Drosophila melanogaster: one gene and its partner. The protein of the gene in region 1 interacts with the protein of each later gene in a pairwise test. Each region holds a gene or a part of one and is shown on either strand. Other genes may lie near its edges.

Evidence for each region. Proteins that work in one complex are often made in the same cells at the same time.
Region 2: the proteins of CG15580 (region 1) and CG5062 interact in a two-hybrid assay, tested with the Drosophila melanogaster proteins (one large-scale study listed by BioGRID).

Annotation. Positions count from the first base shown.
Region 1 is NT_033777.3:6,053,563-6,061,049, forward strand, and holds CG15580 (uncharacterized protein), read right to left. Parts: upstream 3,975-7,487; 5' UTR 3,929-3,974; coding exon 3,618-3,928; intron 3,493-3,617; coding exon 2,647-3,492; intron 2,426-2,646; coding exon 1,846-2,425; intron 1,738-1,845; coding exon 1,243-1,737; 3' UTR 1,150-1,242; downstream 1-1,149.
Region 2 is NC_004354.4:5,178,750-5,185,493, reverse strand, and holds CG5062 (uncharacterized protein), read left to right. Parts: upstream 1-3,124; 5' UTR 3,125-3,313; coding exon 3,314-3,910; intron 3,911-3,974; coding exon 3,975-5,123; 3' UTR 5,124-5,312; downstream 5,313-6,744.

The sequences.
Region 1 (7,487 bases):
TTTATTTGACTTTTTTCGCCCTTGCTGCTTAATGTTTATTATGAATGTTACTCGTGAGCGTATTTAGTTAATTTTATTTCACACAAGAGAAGTCTGAAAAAGTCAGGCGACTCCGATTCCGCCGGATTGTTGGCCCATCTCTTTCCTTTACTTTAGCCCTTACGGACTCCAGTCGAGTGCTGGCTGAAAATTAAGTTAACACCATCAGTTGGGTCTATGAATGTGTATCTGCGGCTGGGCAAATTAGAAGCCAAACATGGCGAAAAGGCAGCCGCTTATCTGCGTTAAGTAGATGAGAAAAGTTTGTGGCTCGGCGCGTTGATAAGTTGAGTTACCAGCGCACATATATCTTTCATGGGATCCTGTCAAAATGGGGCCGTGAACTCATACCCAACCCCTCCGCGCTTTCCTTCCTTTCCTTTAGCCCCCTCGATATATGTTACCCCACTTCCCTGGAAACGTCTCCCAATTGCAAGATAGACACACATTACCTCAGGCGAACCGGCATATGCATTAATTTGTTTATACTCGCTGAGGTTTGGCTTTGTTAACAAGACGAACTTCTAAGCACTGTTCGAGCTTCTTTCTTTGCACTGAAAAAGCAGATATATCTTGTTTAGAAAAACTTTAAAAGAAATGAAGCCTTCCAATAAAATCACCGCTAGTTAACATTGGAAATTAAGTCTTCAAATGAAGTAATATGAATTGAAAAATTCTTTTAACTAAAGTGTTAAAAGGATTTAACATGCTGTTTTTAGGACTGGTGTTTTAAGTGCTTTCTAGTTTGTTTTATCAACATGGAAATTATACTATTTTTTCCGAGTGTACGCCCACGATTTTATGGAATTGACTGTGGAGCTTGGAAGGCAGAAGTAGCCAGGGGAAGTGGCATTAAATTGGAGACACTGTTGCCCAAATCTCCGCTGCTTAAATGCAAACTGCTCAACTTTGTTGCACTTGCTGTGCTCTGCAATGACCTTCGGTCGAGGTGTGGCCCCCGGAATTGTGGGCGTGGCTCCAAGGCGAACACGTTGCCAGCGACTTAATTAGATCTCAGTTTATGCCAGCGCGGCACTTTATGGCGAAGGTTTAAAGTGACCATTAGGTCGAATGACATTCCAAGCCCTCGAGAATGATAGGGACTATGTTGGACTGCTAAGTGGTGCGTTTAATGCTTTGAAAATATACTCAGAGTACAATGTTATGCAATGTACAATTGTAGGTGGTGAAAAGGGCTACAAATTAGGGAGTTTTGTTCCTTTGCAGGTAGAAAAAGCGATTGCCAGGGCCTGGCAGAAAGACAGACTTCCGGAACTGGTCCAGATCGAACTTGTTGGGTTCGAAAACAAATGGTTCTGTCTTTCCATTTTGAGAGGGGTGCGAATCCTTTGAAGTGTGCGATTCCCTCACTTCAGGCGCTGTCGGCTGGTTCCACCGAGCCAACATTGCCCAGATGTCGCCCTCCTCCTCGACCTCCTTCTTCTCAACGACCACCTCCGGAATGGATTCCTTGCTGGAGCTCGAGAACTTCGGCCGCACCTCCGTGCACCCCTTCCGCCGGGCGAAATCCTCCTCGATTCGCTGGACAATCGGATGGCGGCGCTCCTTGACCACCTTACACAGATTCTCGCCGTGGTGGAGGTTTTCATGAATGTAGTTATTCCGACGCACTATCATGTCCACTTCGAATTCCTGGTCGAAGCTCAGCTCACATTCCCGGAAGTCGGCGTATAGGATCTTAGGATAGGAATGTAAGTTCAATACTCAGTTAAAAATGATCTTCAGCACCCCTTTCGCAAAAGTGGTCATTATCAGCGATCCAACCTAATTCAATGTTATACTTACTCGGGTATTCTTTTCCAGGGATCTCAGTATTTGATTCCCTTGCGAGATGCCAATGTTGATGGCGGCCATTTCGAGGCTCATCAGAGGAGTGTGGCTGCGCAGGAGGGTTCCTATATCACGGGAAAACGAACCCAGGGTGGTGTTGATCCCCGAAATGTTGAGGGCCCACACATGGGGGGTTCCGATAATACACGTTATGAGCGAATGCAGGGCCAATTCATTAAGCGGATTGTGAGCCAGGCCCAGATACTCCAAAACCCCCACTTGCGATTGGCTCAACGCCTCGCCCAGCACAATTGCACAATTGGCGCCCAATTTGTTGTGTTCCAGCTGGATACTGCGGTACATCAAAGGGCGCTTTAGCAAATAGGCCAGGCCTTCGCTGCACTCATCCGTCATTTGGTCATAACCAAAATCCACCTCATCAAGGGTGTCTAAGTTCTGAAGGGCACGGGTCAGGATACGAAACTTCTTCATACTCAGGCGACTGTTTCGAAGCCTGAAGGTCTTGAGGCTCGGTAAGTATTTCAGACCTTTGCTAAGACGAACCATATCACTGTCTGAGAACTTCATATAACGGCTGTAAGGTACAAGTTAAGTTAAGTTTAAGCTAGCAATTTTAATTTAAATGCTGGTGGTAGGCGATGCAGCTGTAGACTCTTGGCGCTTTTAGAACTCTACTTCACATGTATTTATTTGGTTCCATTTATCTCAGAGAAAACATGTTATACAAATCGTGTACAGCACGTTTCACTTCTTCGATGTTGTTTCTTACCATAACATTCTAATTTAAGAGCTTACCTTTGATAGTCTTTTACATCAGGTGGTCCCAAAAACTCCAGCGTCAGAGACATCATATTTTCAAAATATCGTACAAATCCCAGATCAATGTGATGACAATGGTCCTCCGGATAGTCATACCGCTTGATCCGCTCCAGCAGCAGCTGCTTGTTGCGCTTGTCCGGTTTTGTGTCCTCGTCATCACCTTCTTCTGGAGCAACGTTTATGCTGAACACGTCTCGAATGGGCGGTTCCTTCTTCTTTTTCTTCTTTTTCTTGCCCGATTGATCCGCATTCTTCAAGGCGTCCAGTTTCTCCTGGCGCTTCCTCTTGCGCTCCTTGCGATCCTCCCGTTTCCTAGCAATGGCATCCCGAGCCTGCTGGCGGTTGGCGTTGCGCAGATGTCGCGCATTCCGGCGAATTGTGTCCTCGTTCTCGGTTTCCGCACGCCAGAAAGTAATAGCTGCCTCGCTGCTGGAACTACTAGACTTGTGCTCCTCCTCGCCCTCGTCCATTTCCGTATCCGGCTCATCGCTAGATATCTCCTCCTCGTCGGATGACTCCGAGGATATATCCTCTTCAGGCTCGCTCTCCAAGTGCTTAATGAAGGCATAGTCGGGCAGAGCTTGCAGCTTGCGGATGTGCATGGAGTTGACATACTGCCAAACAATTTCAGCCAACTGAGCCAGCCTTCTCTGCGGCTTCACGTTCACAGGACATGATTCAACCTGCTCCACAAACTTCCGGCTCACACCCTCAGCCTTCCAGTCGAACTCGTTCCAGCGCTTCAGGTGCAACGTTTTGTCCAAAGTCTTGCTTAGTACGACGCGTCGCCAAAATCGTTGATCCTCGATCAAATAGCAATCTCTTTGAAATATATATAAAGTTATTAGGGTTTGTAACCATAGTAAATAACGATATAAAGTTAGTGGCGTCAAATGTTAAATTATAGGTTATGTAATGAAAATACTTGTATCCGTTTCGTTACATACCTCAAAGGCAGCTCCACATCCAGTGCGTCGTAAAATATCCTCATAAGCTGGGGACTCGCCTGCAAAGTTGGAGATATGCCTCGAATGCCCAGCTTGGCCAGACTCTTTACGCTCAGATTGACTAAAGTGTTCAAGTTTCCCTCTATAAAGGCCTCCGCAAAAATCTCGCGATTCCGTTCGCTGTATAGGTTCAAGGTCTGATGAGAGGGCTTAAAAAGCTCATATGTGGCCAGAAGGAGGGGATCGGTGGGAGCCCGGAATTTCTGAGCATAGTGCGGTTGCACAACCTCCTCATCATCTTCAAAGTCCATATGGAGTTATTTTCGAGTATGTTTGTTTGTGCGTTGAAAGTCTTTTTTTTTGAAGTTTGTTTCTGAAAGTGATCGATAAGTATAACATGGTTTTAACCCATGTGTTCCAGTGCACCTTAATACATTTATGGAAGTGCCGTTTGTCTATCTTCATACTCCAATGAACATGTTTTATGTTTTAGTTATCTCGCACCTGCCAAACGTACTTCCTCATTAAAAACTGTCCGGTTTTCATTTAAGACACTCTAAATCCCGACCCGAGTGCGTAACAAATGTTTACAACGGCTAATTTAAGAAAACTCGCCTAAGATATTTTCCACTTACGGCGCTCTTTAAGCGTTTGCTAATATTTGCTGCTAATGTCTCGCAAGCACTTGCCAAGCACTCGAAGCAAATTTAAATTAAGCTAACCTAATTGAGAAGCGAAGAGCAGTTTCTTTTTGTGGCCAGCCCCGCTTCGCCCGCCCCGTTCCATTCCGTTTTGGCCAATATTCAGCGCTTTGTTTTGATGGCGAAGCTGCCAGGAGCTTCACCTTGCCGGCTATTTTTCTACCTAATGAAATAAAAATAGATGTTGTTAGAGCTGCTCGCTGAGTGTGCTCGTCCTGTCCGGGTGCCTTTGTGCCTGGATCGGAGATGGCCCCCAGTTTGGAAGTGGTTTCCATAGTGCATGTAGCTGCTCCTGCCAACAAAGACGCTGCACTTAAGAAAACCAAACGACTTTGTATCAATTCTTGTGACCAGGACATATAAAATATTTATATTTTTAATGCATATTTATTATTATTTAATTATAGTGGTACTGTTGATAAGCTATAATATTTTCCCGGAAGAGCTGTTACTTCCTACCTATGTGGGCTATATTCCAGGATGTATCATATAATAAAATGTTTAGTTTTAAAGTTGTAAGGAAATAATTTGGCACGGTGTGCACCTATAGCATTCCTGGCTCTGCAAAGCTTTGTGAATATGCTCAACTTGGAGTATTTCTTCAGAGCAAGTGGAGGAGCCCCAGGTCCCCAGCTCCCAGTACAAATTAAGTGCATGCCAGGACGAAATTCGCCATCCAGCCCACCACTACACACAACACAACCACCGACATCGTCGTTGGTCCTTTTCTGTGAACGACAACTGCATTGCTAAGTGGAAGTTCGACCATGACTTTTGCTTTCGCTTCGTCAATCACCTTTTTATCTGGAAGGACATTACCAAGCCAGCTCAACTCGGATTCGGTCTTACCAACTTGTCCTTCCTCGCATGTCCTTCTCGGACGTGAATGTATGTGTGTATGTGTGTGCCCCAAAATTTATTACAACCTTTGGGAATTCTTTTAAGTAGTTGCTCGATTCAAAATAATTTTCCATTTATCACCGTGATAACAAAACAGTTTTCCCCCAGCCGCAAACCAGAGCGAAAATGGCAAAATAACATCAGAAGCGCGGACATTATGAGTGGGTCGGTGTTAGGTGGAGAAAACTTCACTGCGTGGATGGAGTGTGGATGGGGGCTTGGGGACGGAGGCGTGGCAATGGCTTGGCCAAAATAAAGTGCTCTTCGCAAATCTCGCTGCCGTTGTAGTCGTCCTGGGAGTTGAGCTGAAGACTGGCTGCGGTCGTTAGGGAGTCCGACTTGTCCGACTGGCTCTGATGATAAATGCCGGGCAGCAGGTGATTTAAAATAATTTCGGCCAGCGCGCGAAAAGTATATGTTGCCGGCGCTGTTGTTTTCAAATTTTTGAAATTTACGAGCTGCCGTTCGTCTCACGGCAGAGTTTTGCCTTTCCCCTGAGGCGAAAAGACCAAAAAGTTGGCGCGATTGCTTAACATGTTTGCAACACTGGCTCCGGGGACGATCTAAACCGGAAATGACGCTGCCTCACAAATAGAAATACAATGTAAGTTTCAGTCGCGACACGATGGAGTTTCCCTTCTCTGGTTTCGCTAATGCCACAAAAGAGTTTAACCCTAACTTTGCTTTTGCATTTGCCGCTTTCCTGGCCGGTTGCATTTTTTAAGCATTTTTGGCTTGTTGACCTTACAAAGCCCACGTCAGAGGCAGAGGTACTGGGTGAAATGTAGGGCTCCAATCGCAGCTGAGTGTGCAGGTAGGCCACGGCCAGACGCCTTGCATCTTTCATGGCTGCGGTTCGAAACTTTCATTTGTGTTCGAGCAAAGTTTGATGAACTAGTCCGGCATTGAGGGTGTGCACTTAGGAAAACCTATATCCCCATTTTTTACAAGGGATATGCGGAAAAAGGAATACACAACTGGCAGCGATTCTTTTAAATTTTAAAGAATTGAACTTACACTGGAAACGCATTTTTGAACAATTCATTGTTATTATATTCAACTTAAAGGCAACGGGCAGATGCAGTGCGAAAATTATGTTCTCAGCCAGTGGGCAGCGCGTGTTGCGCCATTGAGCCCACAGGATCTGCAGGATGCGCGATCCCGAGGAGCAGAGAGAAACTGGACAGGCCAGAGGCAACCGAGTGCATTTGCATAATTCACAAAGTTTCCATGCATATTGGTCTAGTTTTTGATAGTGTTTACTATTTTTTACCAAGACTTCCCACTTCCTCTTTATTAAGTAATCATTTTAAGGGCACCACGACGTTGCATTTGTTTTTAATGCTCGAGTTCTAGGAATTCGTACGTTATACGTTGTCCTCAGACCTGTACCGCAAATATTTGATGAGGCTAGGACAGTTTCTCTACCAAGTGGTAATATTGGTTTATTGCTGCATTGAGTCGAGTGCTCGATAAATAGCTCTCAAGTCGTAGATGTAAGCGATGCCTTGTTTACGCAGCTCCTTGTCGGTCGAAACCCTTCATTTGGGCCATATTTTGCCGTGTTTAACATGCTTTCTATGCAGATTGTTATGGGTTCCCCGCACTGTGGGGAGACGTAGACCCTTCGGAACTCGACATAAAATCTAACGACATCGGAGCCGTTCGATACTGGCTGTCGGCAACATTTACATACTTTCGGAGGGAATTAAAATTCAGCCAAAAACAAAAGGACAAACGGAAAGAATCCATGGAAAATGGCAAAAGTTTAGCATAAACTTTTGCCGCTTTACATGCAAAACTTGCAATTGGCAGTGGCCGAGGCGAACATGTTTGCCATCCCGGGACTGGAACTGCTGCTGCAACAAAGTTTCCGTAAGCCGATAGGGTTCTTTGTTTTAACGACTTAGTTTGCGGTCGGTCGAGGCTTTTGCCGCTTCCCTTGCGAAGTCGGTGAAGTCGGCCAAGTTCCACCGATTCTCGCTTGTCACTCCGAATCCGATCTCTGACGAGGGCACTCGAAATGTCCCCATGTGGACAATCGAAAGCTGAGCTCTATCGAATGTTTCGCTTCAACGTGCTTTGTGGCTTCGAGGAAGTGCAATGTTGTAGTTAATTTCAAGCGCTGCACACACACCGCGCAGCCAAAGACAGGTGCATGTGTAGTACACATGCAAAAATAGTCACATGTGGCGCATCTTTTTTTCATCATCAAACCTGATGCAATATAATCTCCTTAGCCGCAACGCATTTGAAATGTCATGCTCGT
Region 2 (6,744 bases), on another chromosome or scaffold:
GCTCTTCCGCTTCCATGGGTCCTGGGCGCTCGGAGCGTAATTTATCTGCTGGAGGAGCAGCAGTTGTAAAAAGGGGGGGAATTCCGCCTGTCAACAGGAGTCCTACGTTTCGAGTCCTCTTTGGCCATGGGTAAAATTTATGCAAACCGACGTATGGCCAACAGGATGAGCGAGTGGAGCCAGAGATATATGACCCCCTGCACAATCCAAAAAGGAGGGGAGCTCAAGGAGAAAGGGTGATTTGGAGGATATGAGGGGTATGCCCAGTGTATTAACTGCAGCTAAATCAAAGTTTTGAGCCCAGTTATGAATTATTTGCCATTGTTCAGCAGGCGAAACATTCCTTTGTCGCTGACTTTGTCCCTTTTTGGCAGGAAGCCCGATGGTTTTCCTTTTCCCTCTCCACACTCCCCACTTCCCACAAGCCCGCTCCATATACCAGCGCGGAAGGACACTACGATCCACCTGCCGAGTCATTCGAACCCCGGCCCCCGCCAAGTCAATTTGAACAACATTTTGCCGCAGCTCTGGTTATACAAACAAGATTCCACATTCCGCTTCTTGGCTCTCGTTTTCCTCGAAAGGTTTCCCTCGCTGTTCCCCATGCCTATCTTATTTTTCTGTCTAGCTGTGATGATTTGCCATTTGGGGCAGGACCGTCCTAGAGGCACGTAAATTGAATGGCCGGAGCCAAAAGGTTCTGCAACCTGAAGTAAACAAAACAAAAAAAAAAAAAAAAGTCTAGCAAAAATTAAGTGAAAATAATAAACCTTTCGCACACACACATTTTCTGCTGGTGGTGATGGTGGTGACTTGGGTGGTAAAGGAAAAGGCAAATGCTGAAGGGAAAGCAAAAGGGCATTACACACACGTTGACCAACGGATGTCCTGCTGCCTGATGGCATTACAGTTAATTAAAGGTGAACCGATGGCCACAGAGTCCTGCCATCCAGCACAGTGGGTTCAAGAGTCCAGTAAATTGGATTTAATTTCAATATATGTATATTGTGACACTATTTGTACAGCCATTTTTCGGATATTGATGTGTACCGTTGGTTGCAAATAACTTTTGGACTGCAATCTTGCCACCCTAAAAGGTAGTTGTGGATAGGGAGTGATTTTTAATGACTTTCACGATTAAATGCCCAAGGAATCATTTTCAGTGGACCGGAAATTATCCCATGGTGACTGTGCGCATGTGAGCGGAGGTCCACTGTGTGTGTGTTGTGCTGCTGCTGCTGCAGCTGCGTGTGTGTGTTAGTGTGTGTGAGGGCCATGGCAAACTGGAAACTTTGCAAATGAATGGCAAGGCATTGGAAATAATGAGCCGTATTTACATTTCAAAGCGCTCGCACAGAGCGAGAGCTGTAAAAGTTTTTAGCCTCCCCAACGGACTACGGGTCAAAATCAGTTACGGAACTCTGAAATGAAGAAGGATTGCGAGAAAAGAGGAATAAACCCACGGAGGCTGTTGTTGTAGTAGTTGTAGTAGTAGTTGTAGTAGCATTGCACACGCACACGCACACGCACACAGATGAAGCCGGGTAAATCTCCTCCAGAGTTGTGTGGGGAGTAAATTGCGAAAGCTTTCGGTGGCAGGATTGCATACAATTTGTTTTATGGCCATGGCGTGCACATTAAACGCGCACTTAATCACACGCAATGGGCGTGGTCGGTGGATCGTCCCACCGCCCACCATCGTCGTCGTCGTCTACGGCGACAAATCAAATTGATTTCGCTTTTCTGGCTGGCTTGCCCGCTGCCCTTGCCCAAAAATTTGTACGCCCCCTTTTTTTTTTTTGCCCCTTTTGTTGTGTTGTTTTGCGCCTTATTAAATCACTTTTATTGCCATTGAAATGTGAGAAAAGTTTTACGGAGACGATGCCCCCCCTTGTCGTATATATTATAGTACGTAATATGATTTTTAGCTGCTTGCCAAAAAAAAAAAATAATTCATATTTATGGCAAAAACTTCACGCTCAGCGCGATGTGAGAAACATCGGTGTTATTGATGTCTGGCGAACAGGAGTGTATTTCGGGCGGAACCCATGCAGTCAGAGGTGGTCGCTGTTGGTTGTCCATAGTGAAGGCAACCATTTGCCCCACGGCCACCACACCATCTCATCGGAATCTCGAGTATTTGGTATTGGGTGTCGAGTAGCGTAGTAGATGGAGATGTCTCTTTGTGCGCCCAACAACACAAGCGCCACACAAATAGACAAGACAAACACTATGGGCTGGATATTGAGTTTCGGTTTCGAATTCTCTTCCAGCATTCGTCATATGACGACTAAAATGGAATTTGGTCAGTATCGAGTGCACAAAAGACTCCGGCTAGTTAAGTTATACATATACCAAAATACCGTAAAATAAGCATAACTTGAGCAAAAATAATCATTTTCGAGCACTTTCGAGCAGCAAGTGACATGCGGTATTATAGCCCTGCTTAAAAGCCAGCTTGTTGAACTATATATATTCCTCCATTATCCTTTTTTTTCTCTCACCAGCCTAATCTACGGGCAACAGCGAGATTTTCACAAAAAAAATATATAAAAAAAATAAACCAGCGACCCCTATATTCAGGCACTGCGTTTCAGCGAGGCGTGTAATTAAATTTTCATGCCACCTACCTGGTGGCTGGATTTCGAAGGGAGAGTAGGCGGTGGGGCAAGCGGGCCATGGGCGTGGCACTTACATACAAAGAATGCAAATTGTCGGGGCTATTCCAAAATGCAAGCATCAACGCCTTCGAATGCAACCAAAGCAGGCGGAAGTAAATGCAGCAGCGGCGGCAGCCTTTCCCTTTTTCCCCCAACTAGCTTTCCATATATCCTCGCCCCCCCCCCCCCCCCTTCACTTATCCTCTAGTTTTTCCTTCTCACCTGCCACTCGACAAAAAACGACACTCAAGTGGTCAGGTGTGAACAAGTGTAGAAGCAGCGTACACGAGCATGTTTAATTTTGGGATACTCAAATGTATAACCGACCTATTAAAGGAACTCTATGATTCAAAAAGTACCTGTGAGCCTACATTCCCAGCAAATACCCTGTAATTGTAATGCTATACCCAGCAAGCTTTGAATTCATGTAGATTTAACCTGCCAGATTCGATTGGATAAACAAACGAAATATACGAAACAAGCAAACAAAACAAGAGCCTCCGAGCAAATAACACAAACAGACACGCCAACAAACCGAACAAAGGAACAAACTCAATAGCTAAGCGAGAAATCTGCTATTGCGTTTTACCCCACACCCCTCTGGCCATTTGCAATTTCAAACGCGATATACATATAGAATAGAATTCGTCAAGATGCCAATGGTGATGCCATGTCGTTCGCGAGCTGCGATGAAACTGCACCCGGATTGCTATGATCGACTTAAGAAGCCGATTTATCTGGAAACGCCACCATTATCGACCGTCGAAGAGGAGCCACTATGTGGCGTACGCCGTGATAGACCCGTAAAGCCAAAGGTTCAGAGGCGACCATTACCGCCCGGCACACGTCTACCGAATCCAGTAGCCGTGCCTGGACAGAAGATCACACGTTCGGCGGTGGGTGGCGGTAAGGCGCCACCGCGAGCCCGAAAATACGACGGTGCCAAGGCCACGTTCTTTCACATCAAGGGTCAATCATGGGAATCCAAGGGCTATGCGGAGCTCTCACAGTGCGAACTGGATCGCATGCGGGCATCGAGGCCGCGTACCACCGAGGAGCGTCGCGCGGAACAGGATCGCCGGATGGAGGAGCAGCAATATCATACAGCCGAAGCGGAACGTATGCGTAACTATTTCCACGACATTGATGAGCAGCGCAGGGAGAAGGAGCGCGAGGCCCAGAAGAGGGACGATGACGAGGCCGATGAGGATGTCAACGAGGATCGGCGTGCGGAGGCCAAACGATTGCAGGTAGTTTTTTGGTTTATGGTTCTTAGCCATATTTCCGAAAGTATATCTCCACCACCCATTGTAGGTACTACACCGCGCCTTGGATGCCAAATACGAGTCAGATGTGCGAGTTAAGGATGCCACGCGTGCGATATCCGAGGCCAAATGCAGTGCCATGTGGACGGCTCAGATACAGGAAAGGAAGCTACTCAATCGCATTCAACTCGATCATGACGAGGAGATGGCTCGCAAGAATCGCGACTACAACAATGCCAAATGGGGCACGGTGGAGCAGCAAGATCAGGCCGAAGAGGAGAGGCGCCGGCAATTTGGCAACGCAGTGCGTGAACAAATCACTGATCGCGAAAAGTTACGTTTCCTGGCCCAGGATCGTCTGCGATTGGAGGCGCGAGACTTGCGTGCCGCCGTCGATGAGTATAAAAAGGCTGAATTGGCAGAGGGCGAGATGAAATCGCGCCGTAAGCTGGCCTATCGGGATGAATTGAATAAGTATACGAAATTGCATCGCAATTTCGTACGGATGATGTGCGAACAGGATCAAAGAGATGAGAACAGGGCCTACGAGTATCTAAAGCTCAAGGAGCAGCAATTGAAACAACAGCGAGCGGAACGCGAAGCCATCGCGGCGGATGAGAAACGCAAACGGGATGTTCTCTTTGCAGTCGGCCAAAAGATTCTCGATGCTAAGGATAATCGCGAGGAGATGCATTTCCTGGCGGAACACGAACGCCTCGAACGAAAGTACAGAGAAAACGAACGTAAGGCAGCCGAAAAGGAACGCAAAATGGCCGCCGAACTCAAGCGTGCCAATATGGAGCAAATGGAGCATCTTAGCCAAATGAAGGCCTGCTTCTATGTGCAACGTGAACGCGAACTAAAGGAGATGATCGAGTATCGAAAGAAGCACGAGGAGCAAATGAAGCGCGAGGCCGAGGAGCAGGCCATCAAAAAGGCCTGTCTGCGCTCCAGTGTCTCGTGCCAAATCGAAGAACGGGAGAAGGCTCGTCGCCGCGAACTGGAGGAGGAACACTTGGCCTTCGAAAGGGAGCGGGCAGCTGAGGCGCAGCGGCAAAAGGAAATCGATACGGTGATCACAGTCAAACTGGATGATCTACAAAAGCGCGGATGTCTGCCCAATTTGGCGGTGCAATCGCTAAAGGGTCGTGTCGCCAATGCTGGCAACAAAAAGAAGCTGGGCGCTGAATTCACTTAGATAGTTATATTTTCTAAAAATCCATCCATAGACAGACAGCATCAAACACGCGCACACACTCACTCCCACACACACACACACACACACACACAGACACACACATGAACTCAAGTTGACAATGGCATAGATGATGACTTTTCGAGCTTGGCGGAATTAAAACTTGCAGCACATATAAAATGTACATAATGTATATGCACGTATTTTAGCCACCCTGTGGTGGCAACTTTTCCGTGTGTTCCTCGCCTTTTTTGTTTGCTGTCAATTCAACAAGTTAAAACTGCAGACCGCAGACAAAAGGATATATAGACTGGCACTCATTAAGCAGCAGCTGATAGAGCAAACAAAGTTTTTTCTATCGCTGCGCTCACTCTTTTGCATGTATTAAATATGCACACAGATTGCACACGGTATTCGGTGCAACTAAAAGTCAACTTTATCCTGTCGCATTTGCGGCTGCAAAAATAATTAGCCACACAAGTAATCAAAAACAATGGGTTCAAATGCAGTTTTGGGCAGTGGTGTTACTGTTTTATTTAAGGTTAATTATTAACTAGTTTATGATCTAGGGATTTCGCGCAGTTTTGTTGAATATCATTTATTCGTATAAAGGATAAAAACTAAGCAAAACACGCAGCGAAATCGAGTATAAATCACAAAAGAGGCGCCACAGCCACGCCTTCTCGCACGAAGCTATCAATTCTGTAAAGTCAGAGAACAGAACGCTGAGATTAATTGAGTTGGATAAATTTCGCCGGGCTAATACGTCTTTGGGAATTAACCCACGATAGATGAGTGGGGGTTAAAAAGGCGCACACAGACACACAAGGATTAGGGTAAATTAAGTTGAGTTTAAGTAGAGAGGCATTTGTTTCACTTAAATTCGCGAAATTAGCAAAAATTAATTTCACTCGGATGACTATTGATTCGATTTTGTGAAATATTCACAAGAAACAGGCACACGGGCACGAATGGGTTAAGCTGACCGTGACTGCATGGCTGTGGGTCATCCATCCATCGGCATAGCGGCGGGTTAATGATGCAGAAGAATATTGCCCTTGAATGAACTAGCAGCAAGCAAAAAGGCCGAGATGAATGTGTTTCTGGGTTAGCAGAAAATGCCTCTCAATGGCTTAAATACTTGCCATGATGCAGCATTTATGGCAAATATTCACACACACACACACACACACGCACCCACCCACGCACATACACTCGCATATGTACCGCAACATACACACAATATAATTGCCAGTTCCTGCCTGTCGAACACAAAACAAAAATCATAGCATACTTTTCTGTGCGCTCAATGCGAATATACAGTTGTGGGCGAAATAATAGCGTACATTAAAATCACATGCTTAAGACTCTTTCAGCAATCAAGTAAAATTAGAACACCCTTAATTCAGAACCTTTAAGCTATATTCTATAGATACCAAAGATATTCTCATCAATATTCGCATCTTGTGACCTATTATGTTGAACGCACATGTACGTACACATATATTTGTTAAATGTGGAGTACATGTATATGCACACGCACACATACGCAGGCAATTGGAAAGAGGGTAGCTGTGTGTGAGTGTTGCGCGTGTGTGCGTGTGTGTGTGCTTGGTAAAAACAA